3 linked regions of the Macaca mulatta genome follow. The protein of the gene in region 1 binds, or shares a complex with, the protein of each later gene. Links are inferred from orthologs where the notes say so. Each region holds a gene or a part of one and is shown on either strand. Other genes may lie near its edges. The genes, in order: CNNM3, PTP4A2 and PTP4A3.

Evidence for each region.
Region 2: the proteins of CNNM3 (region 1) and PTP4A2 are in contact, whole or in part, in a crystal structure (PDB 5K25), measured with the Homo sapiens proteins. The link is inferred for Macaca mulatta from reciprocal best matches to the Homo sapiens genes CNNM3 and PTP4A2. Residues at the interface, in NP_060093.3 of Homo sapiens: Leu390, His391, Phe392, Val393, Phe394, Asp396, Thr397, Glu405, Ala414, Gln417, Val419, Glu424, Gly425, Asp426, Pro427, Phe428, Tyr429; in NP_001356788.1 of Homo sapiens: Met1, Asn2, Arg3, Pro4, Asp69, Gly70, Cys101, Ala103, Leu105, Gly106, Arg107, Arg134, Arg135, Gly136, Ala137, Phe138, Asn139, Lys141, Gln142.
Region 3: the proteins of CNNM3 (region 1) and PTP4A3 are in contact, whole or in part, in a crystal structure (PDB 5TSR), measured with the Homo sapiens proteins. The link is inferred for Macaca mulatta from reciprocal best matches to the Homo sapiens genes CNNM3 and PTP4A3. Residues at the interface, in NP_060093.3 of Homo sapiens: Ser357, Asn358, Phe394, Asp396, Lys418, Val419, Asn421, Glu424, Gly425, Asp426, Pro427, Phe428, Tyr429; in NP_001425170.1 of Homo sapiens: Asn5, Pro7, Asp72, Gly73, Ala74, Val105, Ala106, Leu108, Gly109, Arg110, Arg137, Arg138, Gly139, Ala140, Ile141, Asn142, Lys144, Gln145.

What each region holds. Positions count from the first base shown.
Region 1 is NC_133418.1:5,488,052-5,494,201, reverse strand, and holds part of CNNM3 (metal transporter CNNM3), read right to left. Parts: intron 3,023-6,150; coding exon 2,807-3,022; intron 1,313-2,806; coding exon 1,163-1,312; intron 418-1,162; coding exon 248-417; intron 51-247; coding exon 1-50. UniProt on the Homo sapiens protein: Probable metal transporter.
Region 2 is NC_133406.1:208,943,535-208,950,388, reverse strand, and holds the start of PTP4A2 (protein tyrosine phosphatase type IVA 2), read right to left. Parts: upstream 3,893-6,854; 5' UTR 3,675-3,892; coding exon of another isoform or gene 3,651-3,674; intron 1-3,650.
Region 3 is NC_133413.1:151,764,792-151,771,689, reverse strand, and holds the start of PTP4A3 (protein tyrosine phosphatase type IVA 3), read right to left. Parts: upstream 4,028-6,898; 5' UTR 3,954-4,027; coding exon 3,849-3,953; intron 1,138-3,848; coding exon 1,045-1,137; intron 1-1,044. UniProt on the Homo sapiens protein: Protein tyrosine phosphatase which stimulates progression from G1 into S phase during mitosis. Enhances cell proliferation, cell motility and invasive activity, and promotes cancer metastasis.

The sequences.
Region 1 (6,150 bases):
CCATTCTCGAACTTCAGACCCTCCTTCCCGATCTCCACTTCAACCCTGCCCTGGGAGGAGTGGCAAGGAGAGAAACAGGTGCGGCCAGATCACCTTTCCCGTCAGAAGACAGCGGAAGGAGAAACCCACCACCTCAACTGTTCGGGGCAGGAGGGTGCGTATCTGCACGCCCCTGCTCCCCTCTTCTCCTAGACCCTGCCCTGGCCTGAGGAGGCAGGAGGGGCTCCAGGCCTGGACGCACAGCTACCTGCAGGATGAGAATGAAGTAATCCACCGGCTGGCTGCGCTGGTAGAGGTAGTGGTGCGCGGCCAGGCGGTTGCTCTCGTCAAACCTCACTTCCTGGTTGACGCTGGGATGCTTCAGCAGGTGCAGCAGGACCTTCTCCGAGACGCGCAGTGGGCTGAACACATCCACTTCTGCCCGGAGGGAAAAGGGACAGTGTCCACTGGGGCCTAGTGGCCGGTGGAACCACACCCAACGCTGCAGGCAACTTAAAAGTTATTCTGCCCCGCAGGGCTCTCCTGGGTGGCCTGTCAGCAGCTGCCCCCACACCTCAACACAAGAGAATTGGGCAGGGGCCAGGTGCGGTGGTTCACGCCTGCAATCCCAGCACTTTGGGAGGCTGAGGCAGGTGGATCACCTGCGGTCAGAAGTTCGAGACCAGCCTGACCAACATGGCAAAATCCCGCCTCTACTAAAAATACAAAAATGAGCCGGGCGTGGTGATGCACGCCTGTAAGCCCAGCTACCTGGGAGGCTGAGGCAGGAGAATCGCTTGAACCCGGGAGGCGGAGGTTGCGGTGAGCCAAGATCGTGCCACTGCACTGCAGCCTGGCTGACAGAGCGAGACCCTGTCTTTTTTTTTTTAAAAAAAAAAAAAGAACTGGGCAGGGCACCCCACACCCGCGCAGCTGAGAGCTGAGGCCCCTGGCTGTGGGGCACCAGGCGTGGCGCTGGCCTGGCCTAGCTGTTGGTCGTCTGGCAGAGAGGAGCTGTCTCTCCCATGACCCAGGATGCTGGCAGGGCTGCAGAGAACACACAAGTCCTCAAGACGCGCCGCTTGCTAGGAGCGGGAAGCAGAGTCAGTGTCGGCCCTGGGCGGCCTCCTGACCCACAGGACGGTGAGGAGAGCAGGGGGCGCGGACCACCTTCCCGCCTCACCTCGGGACAGGAAGCGCTGGGTGGCCAAGAGCAGCTGAGGCGAGATTTTTACTTTATATTCATCATCAGACCCCTTGAACAAGGAGAACTCCTCCTTCCGCTTGAGAGGGGCCATCAGAGAAGCAGGCTTCCTCCTCACCACAGTGTCTCCTAAGATGGAAGAAGAGGGCGCGCTCAGGCATCAGCCACCTGTCAGTCAACACCACCACACCAAGGGACTGCATCGCCTGCTCCTTCCTACTGAGGCCAGGGGGTCCTCGACGGAGCAGCATCAGAGCCCCAGGGACATGTCTTCAGCACCACTCCCTCCACGGGGCCTGCTCCCACCCCAACCACACAGAGCGAGGGGTGGCTCCCTGCCTTGGAGCTGGCTGAAGAGAACGCTGATATGATAACAAAGCAGCTCTTATAAAACAACAGGCATCCCTGATAGGTCACTGGACGTGGACTCAATTTTATTTTAATTTAGGCCAGATGTAGTGATTCACACCTGTAACCCCAGCACTTCAGGAGGCCGAGGCGGGAGGATCACTTAAGGCCAGAAGTTCACCACCAGCCTGGCAACAGGGAGACCGTGTCTTTACAAAAAATAAAATAATTAGACAGGTGTGGTGGCACGCGCCTGCAGTCCCAACTGCTCAGGAGGCTGCGGTGGGAGGAAAGCTCGAGCCTGGGAAGTTGAGGCTGCAGTGAGCCATGACTGCACCACTGCACTCCAGCCTAGATGACAGAGCAAGACCATCTCAAAAAAAAAAAAAAATTAAAAATTAAAAAATAGTAACAGGCCTCTCTGGCCACTGAGAAACTTCTCACTAGAAAGCATGTATTCAAGGATGACCAGTGCAAAAGGGCCGCAATTAACCTGGAGACCCCAGGCCTGTGGCAGTCTCAGGAATGGAACCAGAAATGCTATGTTTGAAAACTGACACGAGTAAAGCAGTATTTCTGGAAGCATGCGGGACAGGGGGCCCGGCCATGAAGCGCAGGCTCTGTGCAGCTCTGCAGACCTCAGCCACCAACCTAACAGGCAGACACTTTTACCACGAAATCAAGGGCCCGGGATCAGCTGCTTTGGGAAGACTTATTTCCACCCCCTCCCAGTGTCTCAGCCTGGAGTACAGTGGCATGATCTCGACTCACTGCAACCTCTGCCTCCTGGGTTCAAGCGATTCTTCTGCCTCAGCCTCCTGAGTATCTGGGACTACAGGCATACGCCACCACGCCCAGCTAATGTTTGTATTTTTAGTAGAGACAGAGTTTCACCATATTGGCCAGGCTGGTCTTGAACTCCCAACCTCGTGATCTGCCCGCCTCGGCCTCCCAAAGAGCTGGGATTACAGGCGTGAGCCACTGCGTCCAGCCGGGAAGACTTTCTTCATGGCAAAGAATGGGTTCTTTCAGAGGACATTTCTGTAATGTACAAAAGAACCTGCAAAAACAAAAGCACCTCGGGAGACAGAAGGCTGGGAAAGGCCCATGAAGGGCAGAGCTCTCTCAGTAATGGAGGAATCTAACAGGACTGCTGCTAACGGAGCCCCAGGCGAGCCCTCCTGCAAGGCGGCTCCCTGCCAGCGCCCAGGCAGGGCTGAGAAGGGGCCTGGCTGTGGATCTTGCTGGGTTTCAGCAGCACAGAGGCCCACTGACCTCGGACGCAACATACACCTGGGGAAGTGCGCGGGCCCAGCGGAGACGTAACTGCCAAGAGTCTGGACTCACGGTAGTCTTCAGACTCGTCCAGGATCTCGGACCTGATGATCTCCTCGATCACGTCCTCCAGGGTGACCAGGCCCAGGACCTCGTAGAAGGGGTCGCCCTCACCCTCGTTGTTCACCTTCTGCACGATGGCCAGGTGGGACTTCCCTGCGGGCGGAGGACACTCATGGAACAGCTTGCTGGGCCCCCGCACTTTGATTCATCTCCCTCGGGGCCCACCAAAAGGACGTGGCTAATGTTCATGTTCCTACAGCGGGTCAGGCACAGCCAGACTCTTTTCTAGGTTTTTACTTAAGACGCCCAGCATGACTATGAGGACTGGCCTTATTTTCACACGGGTTGAAAATGAAGCCCTGGGCTCATGCTTGCTCATCTGCACAGGCCCCCCAGGCAGAGGTGGCCGAGCTGGGATCCAGCTCCAGGTCTGTGCGCCTCCATGCCATGGATGCAGTTCAGACAAGCATCCAGTCGAGAACACATGCGCCTCACACAGCAGCCAGCCTGCATATGCAGGCTAACAAGGGCATGACTCCGGAAACGCAGGCTCTCCTGCGGCAGTCCACACGGGGCGGCTGAGTGAGGCCACCCAGCCTGACTCTCCTCGGGAGGTTTTCCTAATTCTTTTTTTTTTTTTTTTTTTTTACAGTAAATATATATGCTGTCCATCCTATGTAAATGTGAACTCCTTCTTGTCCTTATGATAGAAACGAAAAAGAGATAGAAAGATAGATAGACTGTGTGTATGTGTGTGCGTGTGTGTGTCTGTGTATCTTTCCGTTTTCCTAATTCTTAGAGCTGCCCATTAGGGTCTGTGAACCAGGGGATGAGACGCGTGGCAGCTGACCACTCAGGAGTCAAGCTGTGCAGGAGGAGGAGCACCAGGCTGATCTTCCGCCTTACCCTGTCTTTCTTTCTCAGGTTAGCTTCCTGTTTGGTTTGTCTGCTTAGTGAGGGAATGTAAACTTGGAAAAAAGCCCAAGTCTCACAGTGTTGGGGAATGCTGGGGAGGCTTCAGGAATTTACTGTGTCAGGTAAGTGCTTTTCATCCACACTACTTTAGACCCGTCTGAAAAAACCAGAACGCAAGCCACCTAAGTAATTTAAAATCTGAACGGCTGCGTTAGAAAAGTCAAAACAAACACACAAAATTAAGTTTTATATTGTAAGTAACCCAATATAGTCAAAACAGCATTTCAACATGTCATCAATCCAAAAAATAAACACAGACATTTCGTCTATTTTGCACTCTCTGAATCTGGTGTGTTTTATGCTCACAGCACATCTCAACTCAGACTCCACCTTTAGGTACCACAGCCCCAGGTGGAGGGGGCTGCCGGCCTGCGCTGCACAGGGCCAGCACAGGGGATGGGAGCAATTCATCCAGCCAGGCCCTCCTTTGTCACTAACGGAAACACTGAGGGAAACTGGCCTGGACCTGCCTGTGAGGGGGACCTGCTTCAAGACTCTCTTGAGAAATCAAAAAGTCAAGTTCACGTTGTGTGGATCATACTTTACATCCCGTGAGCTTGATTTAAAAAAGCACAGTTCTCCAGGATGCTTGCATTCCCCTGGACAAAAAGCTGGAAATGGCCACACGAGTCATCTCCCCGCTTTCTAGGAGGAAAGGCTAGGGCCCCTGGAGATGGCCACTCAGCCCTCTGAACCGCATTTCTAGACACCTTCTAACCCTCGGTGCTTGTGCTGGGTGCCGTCTCTACGTGGGCCACGGCTGCCCCGCCAGAGTACAAACCTGTCAGGCCAGGCCAGGAAGGCCACGCGCGACTTGTGGTTTTGGTTAATGCCTCGGATTCCAGCACCAAATCCCAGGATCTAAACAGCCACCTCAGCGTAGAGAGGCCTCATCTCGACTCCCTTCTCCCAGGAAGCCAGCCCCTGTCACAGGTTTCCTGCAGAAAGGGACTCACTCCTTTGCTTTCAGACTTCTCGAGAACAAGGCACACAACTCTCCATTTCCTGCCACACTGGGATGACTCTACCACGAACAGAAGAAAGCAGGCCCTGGAAGATCCCCCGGAACAGTGGTTGTGTGACTGAATCCCAAGAAGAACGTCTGGGGGGTCTAGATGGCAGCCAAAGATGGCAGCAGGGGGACAGAGCAAGGGCAGCTGGAGGGACTCAAGGTCACCTCTCATGTGCTGAGCCACCAGAGTGGAACCACTCACACCGACGCCGGCCTGCAGGCCAGCTCCACGGGGCCACACACACCGACGCCCGCCCGCGGGCCAGCTCCACGGGGCCACGCACACCGACGCCCGCCCGCGGGCCAGCTCCACGGGGCCACGCACACCGACGCCCGCCCGCGGGCCAGCTCCACGGGGCCACGCACACCGACGCCCGCCCGCGGGCCAGCTCCACGGGGCCACGCACACCGACGCCCGCCCGCGGGCCAGCTCCACGGGGCCACGCACACCGACGCCCGCCCGCGGGCCAGCTCCACGGGGCCACGCACACCGACGCCCGCCCGCGGGCCAGCTCCACGGGGCCACGCACACCGACACCCGCCAGCTCCACGGGGCCACGCACACCGACGCCCGCCAGCTCCACGGGGCCACGCACACCGACGCCCGCCCGTGGGCCAGCTCCACGGGGCCACGAGCAGCTGTGACAGTGTGTCTTGCCAACATCAAGCAGAAAGTCCTGGAAAAGCTTCAAGTGTAATTTTAGTTAGCAGGCTCCAGGGTATCCCAATTATTTCAATGCCAAAGTACCCTTTCATAATGCCCAATTTCTATGATGTTAATAACAGCTGGAGCGTAAGTTCATCCACCCTCTCTCTTCTGTTTTCTAAAGCACCTGGGTGAATGAATGAATACTGTGAGAAAGACAAAAGCAGCATGCTGACGCTCCTCACGCTGTCGGAGCTGCTCAGACTCTTCAGCATCCTGGCAATCATCTGGCTCCTGACAGGAAACCAGAGCTCGGTTCCTTTAAAGCAGAGACTGCGGCCGAGCACGGTGGCGCACACCTGTAATCCCATCTCTTTGGGAGGCTGAGCTGGGAGGATCACTTGAGGCCAGGAGTTCGAGACCAGCCTGGGCAACAGAGGGAGACCCCAATCACTACATAAAATTAAAAATTAGCTGGGTATGGTGGTGCTCACCTGTGGCCCCAGCTTACTCAGGAGGCTGAGGTGGGAGGATTGCTTGAGTCCAGGAGGCAGAGGCTACAGTGAGCCACGATCACATCACTGCACTCGAACTCGGGTGACAGAGCAAGACTCTGTCTCAAAAATAATAATAACAACGTTCTTGGCC
Region 2 (6,854 bases), on another chromosome or scaffold:
CTCTACCATCACCCTATTCAATAAACATAACTAAGTCCACCATGTTAAAACTAGATTCCATCTTCTATTCAACAAATACAGCTGATGGACTAGCACCCAAATAAATTAACCAAACTTAGTTTCAGAAAAACTTAAGCTTCATTCTTCCAAGACCAAGAGCAACAGCTAAAAACGTATGCACCTGCTCCCTCTGCATCTTGTTTGTAAATTCATTAGTTTTCTAGGCTTCACTGGTTACCAACCCCCACATTACAACAAAAAGGAAAAAGTATATTCAAATCCTGTAAAATAAATCCCTACTAAATTTCAACTTTGTGTCTGAAAATTGTAAAGTGTTCCTTAATTACTGCATAAGGAAATACTACCTTTATCGGACAAAATGAATAAAGTTAATTCTTAAGAAAGATAAATCCAATTTACCTTGTTTGAAATTTTTTTTCAAGTCAACTATATATGGGGCTCTCATACTATGTTTTTTCAAAGCTACACACAAAAGTATTCAAACATTTACTCTTCCTAGTGCTACAAAGTTCAATGATGTTGTAAATGGTTTCTGCCTATAAATTTGGTTTGTTCAAATTAAATATTACTTGACTGACTCACAGAGGGAGTGGCCTGACTTTTGCTGTTCTGAGTCAGAAAATACCCCGTTCAGCAGTTCGAAACTATTTCTCATCTATAAAGGTGTCGAAAACGCCAGCCTTTTCCAGCTACAAAATCTGTTGCCTTAGTAGAAAGACCTTAGTGGCAATAATACTTCAAATCTGTAGTCAATTTATAATTAACAAAATGCTTTCAACATGTATATTCTCACTTCTTCTGATTTAAGTGTCCCACACAGCTCAACAGAGAAACTTTCATACAGTGGTTAAGCTCTAGTTCACTCTTGGCCCCAATAAGTATATTCTCTTTTTTCCAAAAAATAAAACATAAAAGGCTGCTGCATTTCTTTAATCAGACTTCCCTCACGCAGACATATCCCAGATGCCTCATAAAAACTGTCTCAAAGCACACACCCAGAGCCCGAAGAGAGTTTCAAGGCAGCATCTCCTCCCACATAAAAGCCTAGCTTAGGCCCCAAAGAGCCTCCAGTCAGCATCTCCTAAATGATCCCCTTGCCTCCAGCCTTCTCTATTTCAACAGCTCTCCTAAGTACAAGCTGCTAGGTCATCATGTGGATGAGAAACCTCAATGTAAGATGAGCTATTGAAACAGCAGTATGATGTATTGGAAAAATCAACAGCTTTGGAGTCAAAGACCTGGATTTTTAATCCAGCACTAATTCTTCTTATCTGTGTGACCTGGGACAAGTTACTTAACCTTTTAAGTTTCTGTATCTCTTCTTCTCACCACTGTAAATCCATGGGAGCTCATCGCTGTATCCCTAGTGCCGGGCAAACAGAAGTGGTTCAAAATAAGCCAAATGGATGCAAATGAAGAGACCACCTTTCTTGTAGTTGTGAGAATTAAATGAATATAAAAAGCACCTGTAGCACAGTAGGCAATTAACACTAATTAATTCCTTCCCTCACTGAATAGTAACAATACTATTTACTATTTCTTTCTTATTTTTTTGAGAGAGGGTCTCACTGGCTCACTACAGCCTTGACTTCCTGAAATCACAAGTTCCTCTCGCCTCAGCCTCCAGGATAGCTGGAACTACAGGCACATACTACCATGCCTAACTTTTGTATTTTCTGTAGAAATGGAGTCACCACGTTGCCCAGGCTGGTCTTGAACTCCTGGGCTCAATCGATCCTCCTGCCTCAGCCTCCCAAAGTGCTAGGATTACAGGCGTGAGCCACCACGCCCAGCCGAAAAATATAAATTCTAACTTTTAATTACACATCAATGATTTTGCCTGTAATTCTATTATGTTCACGATCAAAAGGACCACCCTCGCGCCTGTTAATCCCAGCACTTTGGGAGGCCAAGGCAGGTGAATCAGTGGCGGTCAGGAGTTCGAGACCAGCCTGGCCAACAAGGTGAAACCCCGTCTCTACTAAAACTATGAAAATTAGCTGGGTGTGGTGGCGCACACTTGTATTCTCAGCTACTTGGGAGGCTGAGGCGGGAGATTACTTGAACCTGGGAAGCCTGGGCAACAGAGCAAAACTCCATCTCAAAAAAAAAACAACAACAACAAAAGGACCATACTACTTTTTGCTTATACTGAAAGACTACCAACTTCTAAGAGACAATTATTTTTAAGATAACATCATTTTTAATATTATATCAAAGTGTAAAATCCCTATCGAGGTACTACTCTTCATCAAGAATCCCTACTTTTACAACTCAAGAATGGGAAAAGTCCATGACAATAATTAGTCCATTCATTATGAAACTTAAAAATGCCAAGATCAGAATACCAGCAAACAACTTCTCACCATCTTCACCAATACAATGGTGTGCTGGCAAGTGATTCTGAAGCCCTGATAATGTGTCATTCTGCATCCTTAATTTCCTTTTGCACATTCGGCAAGGCATAACTTCACTCACTTCCCTCTGAAACTACTCTGTTACAGAGCATGACAGCAAGTACCATATTCCAACTCAGCAGTGGTTGTAGTTTGGTGACTCCAGACAAACATTTGCTGAATGCCTACAGTGACACTAGAACTGCGGGTCACTGCTAATTTCTTGACAAATTCCAGGAAATAATAAACTAGCCTATAGTTTAATTTACCTAACAATAAAATACTCTTCACCTGAAAAACTAGCAGTACTTTACAAAAGTTTATGCTCCTGAACACTCTACAGGCCAGAGTGTAGGCTCTTGGGCAACAGACACACTTCTTTTCGTTAGCTCTCAGGGACCCAGACTAGGATAGGATGGCATCCTTGACTAATTTGAAAATTTACTTTGAAGTTATGAAACGTGGGAGAAAAAAAACGTATAGAACAACAACAAAAAAAACACATCACATCTTTTCTGGGGGGGAAAAAAATTAAAATCCCAGAGCCAGAAGATCATAGTGCCACTAGAAGAGACTTATACCCCCTTTCCTCATACTTGAACCTGAGCACCCAGGGACAAGATGCTCCCGGAAAGAACTCCCTAACCCAACACACCACGGTTCACTATCGCCACACACAAAGACGAAGAGGAAGGGCCTCCAGGATGCCTGCTCACACACTGGACACACGCCGGCACACCCTGCCACACTCCCGCCTCTGCCACGCACCTTCTCACCGACACACACCATGTTCTCCCCCTACACTCGCTCTCTACCACACTCTCAACTCTCTCCTCCCCCACTTCTCACTCATGTACCCCCACCCCTCATGCCCACACGCTCCCCGCACACCCATACCCTCCCTCGCCTGCACCCACACTCCCCCAACATCGACACTGTCCCCCGACCCGCTCCCACTCCCCCCACCTCCTCGCACACTTAGCCCTGTCCCCCACTCACACGCCCTCCCTTCACCAACTCACACTCTCCCCCACGCTCGCACAGCTCTCCCCCTTCCACACACACGAGCCCGCCCCTCGCTCACCCACCCTCGCTCCCCCGCCCCGGCCCGGCCCGGCCCTCCTTCCGGGGACGTGTCTCCGGCCTGTACTAATGGCTGCAGCGCCTCCCGCCCTCCCCTTCCCCGAGGCCCCCGGCGCCGGCGCGGGGGCCGCCCGGGAGGGGCGCACTCACGCTGGCGAGCTGGGGACTGGGCATTGAAGTCCGGCGGCGGCGGGAGCGAGGAGGCGCCTCTCTCCTCAGTCACCTCGGCGGCGGCGGCGGCGGCGGTAGCGGTGGCGGCGGCGGCGACGACTCCCCCCCAGCCTCGGCGCGCGACACCCGGCCCGGCCCGGCGGCGGCGGCGGCGGCGCGTCTCCACGAGTCCGTCTTGCTGCTGCTGCTGCGGTCGCCGCTGCGTCTCCTGCTGCCGCCGCTGCCCCCGCTGCCGCCGCTGCCCTGTGGCGTCGCCTCGCGCCGTGCCCGGCCGCCGCTGCCGCTCCAGCCACTCCCGGACGGACGACGGTTACAGCCCGGCCGATCGCGCCGCCGCCACCACCGCTGCGCGCGCAGCCGGAACCAGCTCCCGCCGCCGCCCCTCAGGGGGCGCTGCGGGGCGCGGCTCAATGGGCAGCTGACCCGCCCTCCGCGTTCGCTGACTGGCTGGCCGGCCGGCTCGCGGGCGGTTGGGCCCGCCCACCTGCCCCGCGGGGCTCTGACCCACTGCCCTGGGCACCTCCCCCGCTCCTCCTCCTGGTGGTTCGTTCTGCTCCGCACTCCCGGCTACGGAAGGCGAGTCCATGTGACCGGGGAGGGAAAAGCAGAACGTGGCCTGGGGAGTCGTTCGCCCACGCTGCGCCCCGCCCATCCGCACCTGGGCTGGGTCGAGGGCCTGCAGCCGAGGTGTGACCCGCAAGGTCGAAGGGTTCTTTCTCGCTCCTAGGCCGTCAGGCCTGGGGTCAGATCCTGATGGGACAGGGTGGCCACCAAGTCCTGTGCTTGGGGATTTCCAACTCAGAAGTGGGAACCCGGGCAGCTCAGTTCTTGGCTGCCCTTCCTGAGGCCCCAAATAAATAGCGTGTGCATCTTCGTGGAGGATATTAATACGCCACCCCCGGCTCTGCCCACAAGACACACACACATTCTAAGAACTGTCCCTGACAAGCCAAAATTCAGACTTTCAGGATGTAGGATCTTGGGCAAGTGATTCCCTCTCTCCAAGTATTATCAACTATAAAGTGGAAATAATAGGCCGGGCGCGGTGGCTCAAGCCTGTAATCCCAGCACTTTGGGAGGCCGAGACGGGCGGATCACGAGGTCAGGAGATCGAGACCATCCTGGCTAATATGGTGAAACCCCGTCTCTACTAAAAATACAAAAAACTAGCCGGGCGAGGTGGTGGGCGCCTGTAGTCCCAGCTACTCGGGAGGCTGAGGCAGGAGAATGGCGTAAACCCGCGAGGCGGAGCTTGCAGTGAGCTGAGATCCGGCCACTGCACTCCAGCCTGGGCGACAAAGCGAGACTCCGTCTCAAAAAAAAAAAAAAGAAAGAAATAATAATCAGCAACCTCATGGGCGCTTTCACGATCGATAATAACGTATGAAAACACTTGAGAAAGGCCGGGCGCGGTGGCTCATGCCTGTAATCCCAGCACTTTGGGAGGCCGAGGCGGGCGGATCACTAGGTCAGGAGTTCGAGACAAGCCTGGCCAACATAGTGGAACCCTATCTCTACCAAAAATACAAAATTAGCCGGGCATAGTGGTGCGCGCCTGTAATCCCAGCTACTCGGGAGGTTGAGGCAGGAGAATCGCTTGAACCCAGGAGGTGGAGGTTGCAGTGAGCAAAGGTCACGCCACTGCACTCCAACCTGGGCGACAGAGCCAGACTCCATCTCAAAAAAAAAAAAAAAAAAAAAAAAAGGGAAAATAAAACGCTTGAGAAAGAGGAGACCCTGAATTTCAAGGTTTCCGACTTAATGTCACCTTTAACGACGCAGATTATCATAGAGATTCTCAAGTGGAAAGGTTTTTGCCTCTTGCATTTGGAAGCTAGCCAGAAATTCTTTGCCAGATCATGCGTCCTGAGTTTTGGTTTGGAAAATGTGGTCACTAGCGAGCTGGGAGGCTGGTTTGGGCCACGGCCAGATGACAGGCAAAGTGCGGCATTGGGGGCTGGCTTGGGAGGAAGGGAGATGTCTCCCCCTGAGAATTGCGGGTTGGGGAGGGTCTGTTCTTTCTGTCCACTCCTGGGAAGTCTTGCCTGCCCAGAACTGGCTCCTATCTAGGAAGAAATGAAGATGCCCCCGTGGGTGTTTCTCCCCTACCTCACCACCACATCCATGCTCATCCAGCCCTGCGGGGAGAAGCAGTAATCTGTCATCATTAGACCTTCCCCACAAGGTAGACTTGGGGCATTGCTACTGACCAGAAGGCTTCCATTAGAGCTTAGCAGTAAAATGAAAGGTCTTATGACTCAGCCGCATCAAGCCACAGAGCAGAGTCCAGGATGTTCACCACCAGCAGGTGGCCCAGGAGGGGGTATTCTAGGGCAAAGCTGGTTAGCAGGGCTGTGTGGGAGTTGAGAGAGGCCTTGAGGAGCAAGAGGGGCTGCAGATCAGTAGCAAGGCCCCTGGGTGAGGAGCACAGACTGGGCTCACTTGCATTCTGTCTGCCTCCAGCAAGCAGTATTTTCTACTTCCTGGAAACACAGACTGATTTGAAACAAAGAGCTACCTCCTCTGCAAAACTTTTGCTGCGTCTATGAGTTATTGATTCTTCCGATAAAGTTGCAAAACACCTTGTGCAATCCTCTACCATAGCACTTAACATAATACTGTAATTGCCTGTTTTCAGACTCTCCCCCGCTTAGATGGATCTATTTGGGGCAGTCTAGCAGATTGTTTGCTTGTTTGTTTTCATCTAGTAGATTGTTTGACCAAGTGAATGACACTCCCCTCCACCTAGCTCTCCTTCTGGCCCTGAAATAAAATAGTGTAATAACAACATTAACAACATAAGGATAAGAATAATGGCCCCAATAATAGTTACGTTTACCCCCTTTTTTTTTTTTTGAGACAGAATCTCACTCTGTCACCCAGGCTGGAGTGCAGTAGTGCGATCTCGGCTCACTGCAAGCTCCACCTCCTGGGTTTACACCATTCTCCTGCCTCAGCCTCCCGAGTGGCTGGGACTACAGGCGCCCGCCACCACACCCGGCTAATTTTTTGTATTTTTAGTAGAGACGGGGTTTTACCGTGTTAGCCAGGATGGTCTCGATCTCCTGACCTCGTGATCCGTCTGCTCAGCCTCCAAAAGTGCTGGGATTACAGGCGTGAGCCACTGCACCCAGCCTTTCTTTTTTTTTTTTTTTTTAAGACAGGGTCTCACTTTGTCACCCA
Region 3 (6,898 bases), on another chromosome or scaffold:
CACTGAGCAGACACGCAGCCTTTGGGGGCATCTCACCCCTCCCCAGCCTCCAGGCAGGGCAACTCCTAGAGACAAGTGGTCTGCACGGCTACTTACGTCTGACCCCAATCCCTCCCGCTGCTGTGGAAGAGGAAGGAGGGTGTGGGTGCACCCCACGCGAGAAGCGGGGACACGCCTTCACCTCCCATTCTTCCAAGCAGCCCCGCTTTGAGCTGAGGAACCCAAGGCTCGGAGTGACCTGCAGTGTCACAAGGCTGGGGAGGGCAGAGGCGGGACGCAGCCCAAGGCCTATCTGACCCCAAAGCGCCACCACTGCCACCACTCCAAACCGCCAAGCTGAGGTTATGAAACAGCAACCACAGCCAAAAGCAGAGTCCTGGGATGAAAAGCAGTGACTGAGGGGTCACTCAAGCTCCGCACTGAGGAGACAGGCCCGGATGCAGCTGGGCGAGCCTGCACCAGGGGGCAGTCGTCTACCGGGCCGGGGGTGGACCCCCTGCCCTGGGGCCGGCTCTGGGCCTGCAGCTGCTGTGGCCCATCCCCCAAGGATACGGCAGCAGAACCGCCCCACACCCTGCCCAGACCTGGGTCCCCAGGGCCAAAGGAGCCAAGGAAACTGCCCAAGGGTCCTCCCCAGGAACCTGCTGCCTGGCAACAGGGCCGCAGCCACCTGGACAGAGGCTGAGATGGACCCAAGACAGGACGGGAGGAGGGTCTGAGACAGGCGGAGGAGCCCAACCCCCACCTTGGCCCATGCACCAAGCATGTGCCAGCCACCCCTGCCTGGCGAGCCAAGCTGGCCCAATCTAGAGACAGAAAGATGGGGTACACAAGGGTGAATTTCTTGAGGTCACAAGGCCCAACACCCTGGCCTTCCCTTGATGTACCCAGACACACACGTGGCCCGGCACAAACATGTCCAGGGCTGCCACAGGAGGGGCACCAAACCCTCTGTGCAGGCCCAGAGCCCCCCGCCCCACCCTCCCACGGTGGCAGCAGCGACGAGGGTCCCCGTGGCCAGGGTCCCCGTGACGCGTGCCTCACCACAACTGTGATGCCGTCCTTCTCCAGCGGCGTTTTGTCATAGGTCACTTCACACACGCGCACCACGGTGGTGGCCCCATACTTCTTCAGGTCCTGAGGGGGGAGGACGGAGGAGGCAGGGCTGGGCTGGGGCTGCAGTGCTCAGGGAGCAGGACCCACTCACCAGGGCTCCCAGGGCACAGCTGTGTCCCCCACCATCACCCAGGACTTGGACATGTCCCTTCAGACCCTTCAGGGTGGAGCCCTGTCCCCTCAGACCTCTCGGGGTGGAATCCTGTCCCCTCAGTCCCCTGGGGCAGGGGCATGGTCCCTGAAGCCCCCAGGGAAGGGCATGTCACCCTCCAGCCAGGCAGACCCTGATGCAGTGACGCCCACCAAGAGTGGACTTCGGGCTCCGCGACTGGTCAAGGTGGTGTCTGGGTGTGAAAGAGCCTGTCCCAGGTCCCTTGGGCCACCCAGCAAAGGCAAAGGTGTCTCCACCTACATTCATGGTCACCGGCAGCTGGGACCCCAGCTCCCCAGCACACCACTCCCTCCTCTGGGGTGCTCAGGACCCCACATCTACCAGCAAGGACATTTCTTCCAGAAAAGCTACTGGGTCCCCACAGCAGGAACTGGACCCCCCAGTCCACATGTGAGCCCCTGCATCTGAGCAGCGACCCCAGCTGAGCCGCAGGGATGGGTCCAGTCCAGGGGGACTTTGGGGTCTAAGAGGGGCGGGCGTCAGCTGGGGCACCTCAGAGCAGGGAGGGTGGGCACCACTCAGATGGCGGCCAGGAGGGAGCTGGGCCCTGCACGCCACCAGGGAAGCCCCACACGACCAGGGAAAAGGTCGTGGTAGTTCACAGCCAGGCCGATATTTATACCCCCACTGCGGGGGATCCACTTCACGGGGGTCACGTGTGAGGGCTGTTCCCACCCCACCTGCTCTCACAGCTATTTTGGGATGGGTGAGGAATCAGCTGCTGGGTCTTGCTGGTCACGGGACGGGTACCTAGAACACAGAGAGGCCAGTACCCAACTATCTGAGAATGCAGGGAGCAGGCGGGGTGCTGGGCTCTCTGGCCGTGGGGTACCTCAGAGGCCCTCTGCACCCTCAGCAGAGGGAATGGCCACCCAGCCCAGGACTCAGTCCTGGCCCTGGTCACAGGTTGAGCCCTTCCTGATCCTGGTCACACACTGAGCCCTGATCCTGGTCACATCCTGAGCCTTGACAGTCACACACCTGTGAGCCTTCATCCTGGTCACATGCTGAGCCCCAACCCTGGTGACATACTGAGCCCTGATCCTGGTCACATACTGAGCCTTGATCTTGGTCACACACTGAGCCCTGATCCTGGACTAAGCCTTAACCCTGGTCACAGGCTGAGCCCTCCCTAACCCTGCTGACCTACTAAGCTCTAATCCTGGTCACACACTGAGCCCTGATCCTGGACACGCACTGAGCCTCGATCCTGGTCACATAGTGAGCCCTGATCCCAGACACACACCAAACCCTGACCCTGGTCACACATGAGCACTGATCCTGGTCAAACACTGAGCCCCAACCTTGGTCACATACTGAGTGCTGATCCTGGACACACAGAGTCCCAACCTTGGTCACACACTGAGACCTGACCTTGGTTACAGGCTTAACCCTGATCCCAGTCATATTCTGAGGACTGACCCTGGCCACTCATCATGATGTTCTCCCCAATCTTTCTTGTACATCCTGCTGTTATCTCAAGGGTCTCAGCTGTGAGAGGGACAGCCATCTTCTGTAGGGCACCTGGCTCAGTGTCCAGGGTCCAGGCTCCCTGATGGCAGGGTGCCCAATGCATCCTGCTGCTCTACAGTTCTCAATACCCTCTCATGCCCAAATCCCTGTTTCATTATGACAAGACCATGATGGCTTATCTCATGTCACAGGGCAAAGGACTCAGTCATAAATGACCCTGCACACAGCTGCAGCCTCTGACACAGCTGGCACAGACAGAGGCTGTCAACGGCCCCACACACCGCTGCAGACTCTGCAAATGGCCCCAGGCCTGCAAACAGCAGGGCACTCTGCAGAGACCAGGCTCCTCTAGGAGGCCACACAGGTCTCTCCAGACTCCACTCCCAAGATAGCTTCTGTAAATGCATCTGGTCCCATCTGCCAGGGTTGCCAGTGGCAGGCATCTCTGCTGGCTCTCCAGGGCACAGCGGTCCCTCCCTCCTGTGGCCAGTGCTGACCTTTGCTCAGTCCCTCCTCATATAGAGATCTGGGCCCTGAAGCCCCCTGTCCAGCCTCGTCTAACCTGAGGTCTCACCCAGAGCCCAGCAGCGTGTGGAAGCCTGGGCTAGCCATGGAGCTGCCCTGCATACTTGTCCCCCATCTGCCTGTTTCCCCATTAAGCAGCCACTTCTCATACCAGGGCACCTCCTGCCCGCTCAGCCTATGCACAGAGGTCAAAAGGACAGCAAAGGGCTGGGGAGGGCCTCAGCCCAGGCCACGGCTGAGCACGCAGAACCTGGCCCATGTATCCCCCAGCCTCACCCCCTGCCTCTATCCACATGGCATGGAGTCCCTCCTATCACATGCCAGCCCCCTGCAGGCCTCCCAGGGGACCCAGCTGATCCCCCAACACCCTCACCCCCGACCCCCAGGATACCCCCATGTCCCTCCTCCAGGATCCTGCAACGGGGACTGGGCTTTGCTTCAAGGCTGTGAGCCCTGTCTGGCCAGCGGGGGCTGGGGACCCCTCTCGGGAGGCCTCAGGCAGCTCAGCCGGGCTTCCCAGATACCTGGGCCCCCTGCCTGCCACAGCTCCGTCTCCACTCACCTCGATGAAGGTGCTGAGCGTGGCGTTGGTGGGGTTGTGGGTGATGAGGAAGCGCATGTGTTTGTAGCTCACCTCCACCGGGGCCGGGCGGTTCATCCGAGCCATGGCGCCTCCTGACAGGCCCGGCAGGGCAGAAGGGGCTGCACAGAAGGCTGGGGACACGTCCTGAGAAGTCCCCACGTACCCCCCAAAAATGAGGAGAACAAGATCCCTGTGCTTGTCCAAGAAAAGCGAGATTTAAAAACCCACCCCCATACCCCGCACAAATATTGTGCAAATACTTAGGCGTGGGGGAGGAAGCTGCCCAGTGTTTGGATAATTAAAAAAGAAAACCCAAGTCTTAAAAAAGAAAAGAGAAAAAACAGCCCCCTCCCCGCCCAAAGTAAAGCAGGCAACTCCAAACTCCTGTCTCTCACAGCTGGATAGTCATAAAGAGGCAAAAAATAAAAAGAACAACCAAAAAAAGCTCAGCAAAGAAAACTTAAAAGCCCAAAGAGAATCCGGCCGCCAAGCAGTGTCCAGAGCTGGACCCCACGCTGGGGGCGCCCTCTCCACATCGGTGGCTGGGCAGACAGCCCCCTTCACTCAGAGGTGGGCCCCAAGCCCCCAAGGGCCAAAGGAAGAATGAACTTGAACTGAACCAACTCCAGCAGCCTTGGGCCAGGGGTCACGGGCAGCGGCCGTGGGGACAGCGGCCTCTGACGTGCGGGGCCTCTGTCACGTTACCCCATCGGGGTACGGTGAGTCCTGAAGGGGGGCAGGGGGCTCAGGCGGTAGAGCTGGCCCCAGGCTGGGCAGCAGAGGCCATCGGCAGGCGAGGGCAATGGTGAGAGCCAGCAGCGCGGGGACTCCTCAGCAGCAGGCACGGCGAGCCTGGGTACAGCAGTGCTCAGGGCTGGGCCCCGTGGCCCACTCCATGAACCCCAGGTGGGTCCGCAGCACACAGCATCTGGGGGCGCAGATGAAGAAAATGAATAGAAAGGGGTCACAGTGGGCCCTACCTCCCACGAGGGGTTCATGCCTGCCCTGAGCCCGCAGTCACAGGCAACACCTCTCCCAGAGCGCTCCTCCTGACCATGCTGAGTGAATGACCCTCTTAGGTCTGTTTCCTTATGTGGGAGCACGAGGAAGCACGGCTCCTGCCAGGACTGACCCAGCGCCTGAAGGCCATAGGGCAGCCACCACACAGCCAGCAGGGCATGACGGAGGACAGAGGGGGACAGGGATTTCAGGGACATACACACCCCCGAGGACATGATGAACCCAGCACACAGACAATGGGTCCCTCTGTGGGGACACAGGCCGAGTTCCCCTAAGAAGCCTGAGCCTGGCCCCTGCCCACCTGCCGTGATCTGTGGAAACCCCACCCCAGGACAGCTGCCCTCTCCTCTTCCGATTCTTGGCTACTGCGAACATCTGAGCCCAGGTCTCTCTGGGTGGCCCATCCTCAGGGAACGGGGCCCAGGCACTCAGTCAGTGCTGCCAGTACAGGGAGGTGAGGGACCTGGCCCCACAAGCGGCCGTGGGCCACCCTAATTGCCTCTTGCTTTCTGCAGAGTCTCCTGCCTGTCAGTAGCCCCCTGCCCACCAGTGTCCCCCTGCCCACCAGTGTCCCCCTGCCACTGTGTCTCTGCTGCTCACACAGGGCTCAGCCAGGCTCAGGGGATAAACAGGCCAGCTCTGCCCCTCCAGGAGCTTGTGGAGGCGGGGACAGACCACACCAATAGGCCAGCCATCAGGCACACATGCCAAGGTGGTGACAGCACAGGTGGCCAGGAGTGGCTTCACACCGTAACAGGGCCCTGAAGAGGGAGGGTGCAGGTGGGCCACAGTAACCTGAAGCACCTCCACGCCTGCCTCTCTCCCTCTCTGGGTCTCACAACCCCAAAGCTCCCGGGCAAGGGGGTTCCAGGAGCACGCAGCCTCCTTCCCTCTCTACGGAAAGGCTGGGAGACCTTGTACAAGGTGCCAGCCTCTTTGTTACCCCATTAGCACAACGAGGGGCCACACAAGTGACCCAAGCTCCCTCCGGCTGTGACCCAGCTGTTAGCAGACTCTCCAGCCCCCTAGACTCAACCCAAGCCCGGCCCTGTCACTACTGTCTACCACCCAAGGAAAGGCACTTCAGGGTCCCTTGTCCAGCAGAGCTCTCCATTCCCCAACCCACCCCCTCTCACCTGTGCCCCTGCCCCAGCCCCAGCACCCCCTTCCCAGCTGCCCACCAGGCAGGCTGGGCCCTTGGAGTCTCAGCCCAGGCGCAGGGAGGGCTTGAGGCCTGGGTCCCTGGACTCGGAGGGTGGCTGCATGGGACCGTGGGCTCCTCCTTGCTTGCCCTCCACACCCTCGGTGGCAGCCAGTGCTCACAGGCTCCGAGCAAGCGCCACACCTCAGGATCTGTCCATTGCGTGGTTCTGGGAAGGTTAAAACAGATGGTGGGTGCAGTGGCTCATGCCTGTAATCCCAGCACTTTGGGAGGCTGAGGCAGGCAGATGACCTGAGGTCGGGAGTTCGAGACCAGCCTGACCAACACGGAGAAACCCCATCTCTACTAAAAACAAAAATAAAAAAAATTAGCCAGGCGTGGTGGTGCATGCCTGTAATCCCAGCTACTCGGGAGGCTGAGGCAGGAGAATCGCTTGAACCCAGGAGGCAGAGGTTGCAGTGAGCCGAGATCGCGCCATTGCGCTCTAGCCTGGGCAACAAGAGCAAAACCCCGCCTCAAAAAAAAAAAAAAAAAAAAAAACGGATGGTGGGGTGGGACCTCTAGCAGGAGGTAAAGGTGGAGACAAGGATCCTGCCCCTGGTCCTGCCAGCCCCCACCCTGCCCAGCTGGAGGGAGCACAGGCTCTGAGTGTGGGTGAGGGAAGCCACCGCGTGCTAACAGCACACAAACACCTGGGTCCCTCCTGGGACGGCAGGACGTCCCTGTGCGCGGGAGCCGAGTTCATGTTTACAGAAAGAAAGGAGGAAAAGCGCTGGAGAAGCCACAGCATTGGGCCTCTCCCTGAGGGGCTGACCAACCCCTCACGCCCACAGCTGCCAAGGACCTG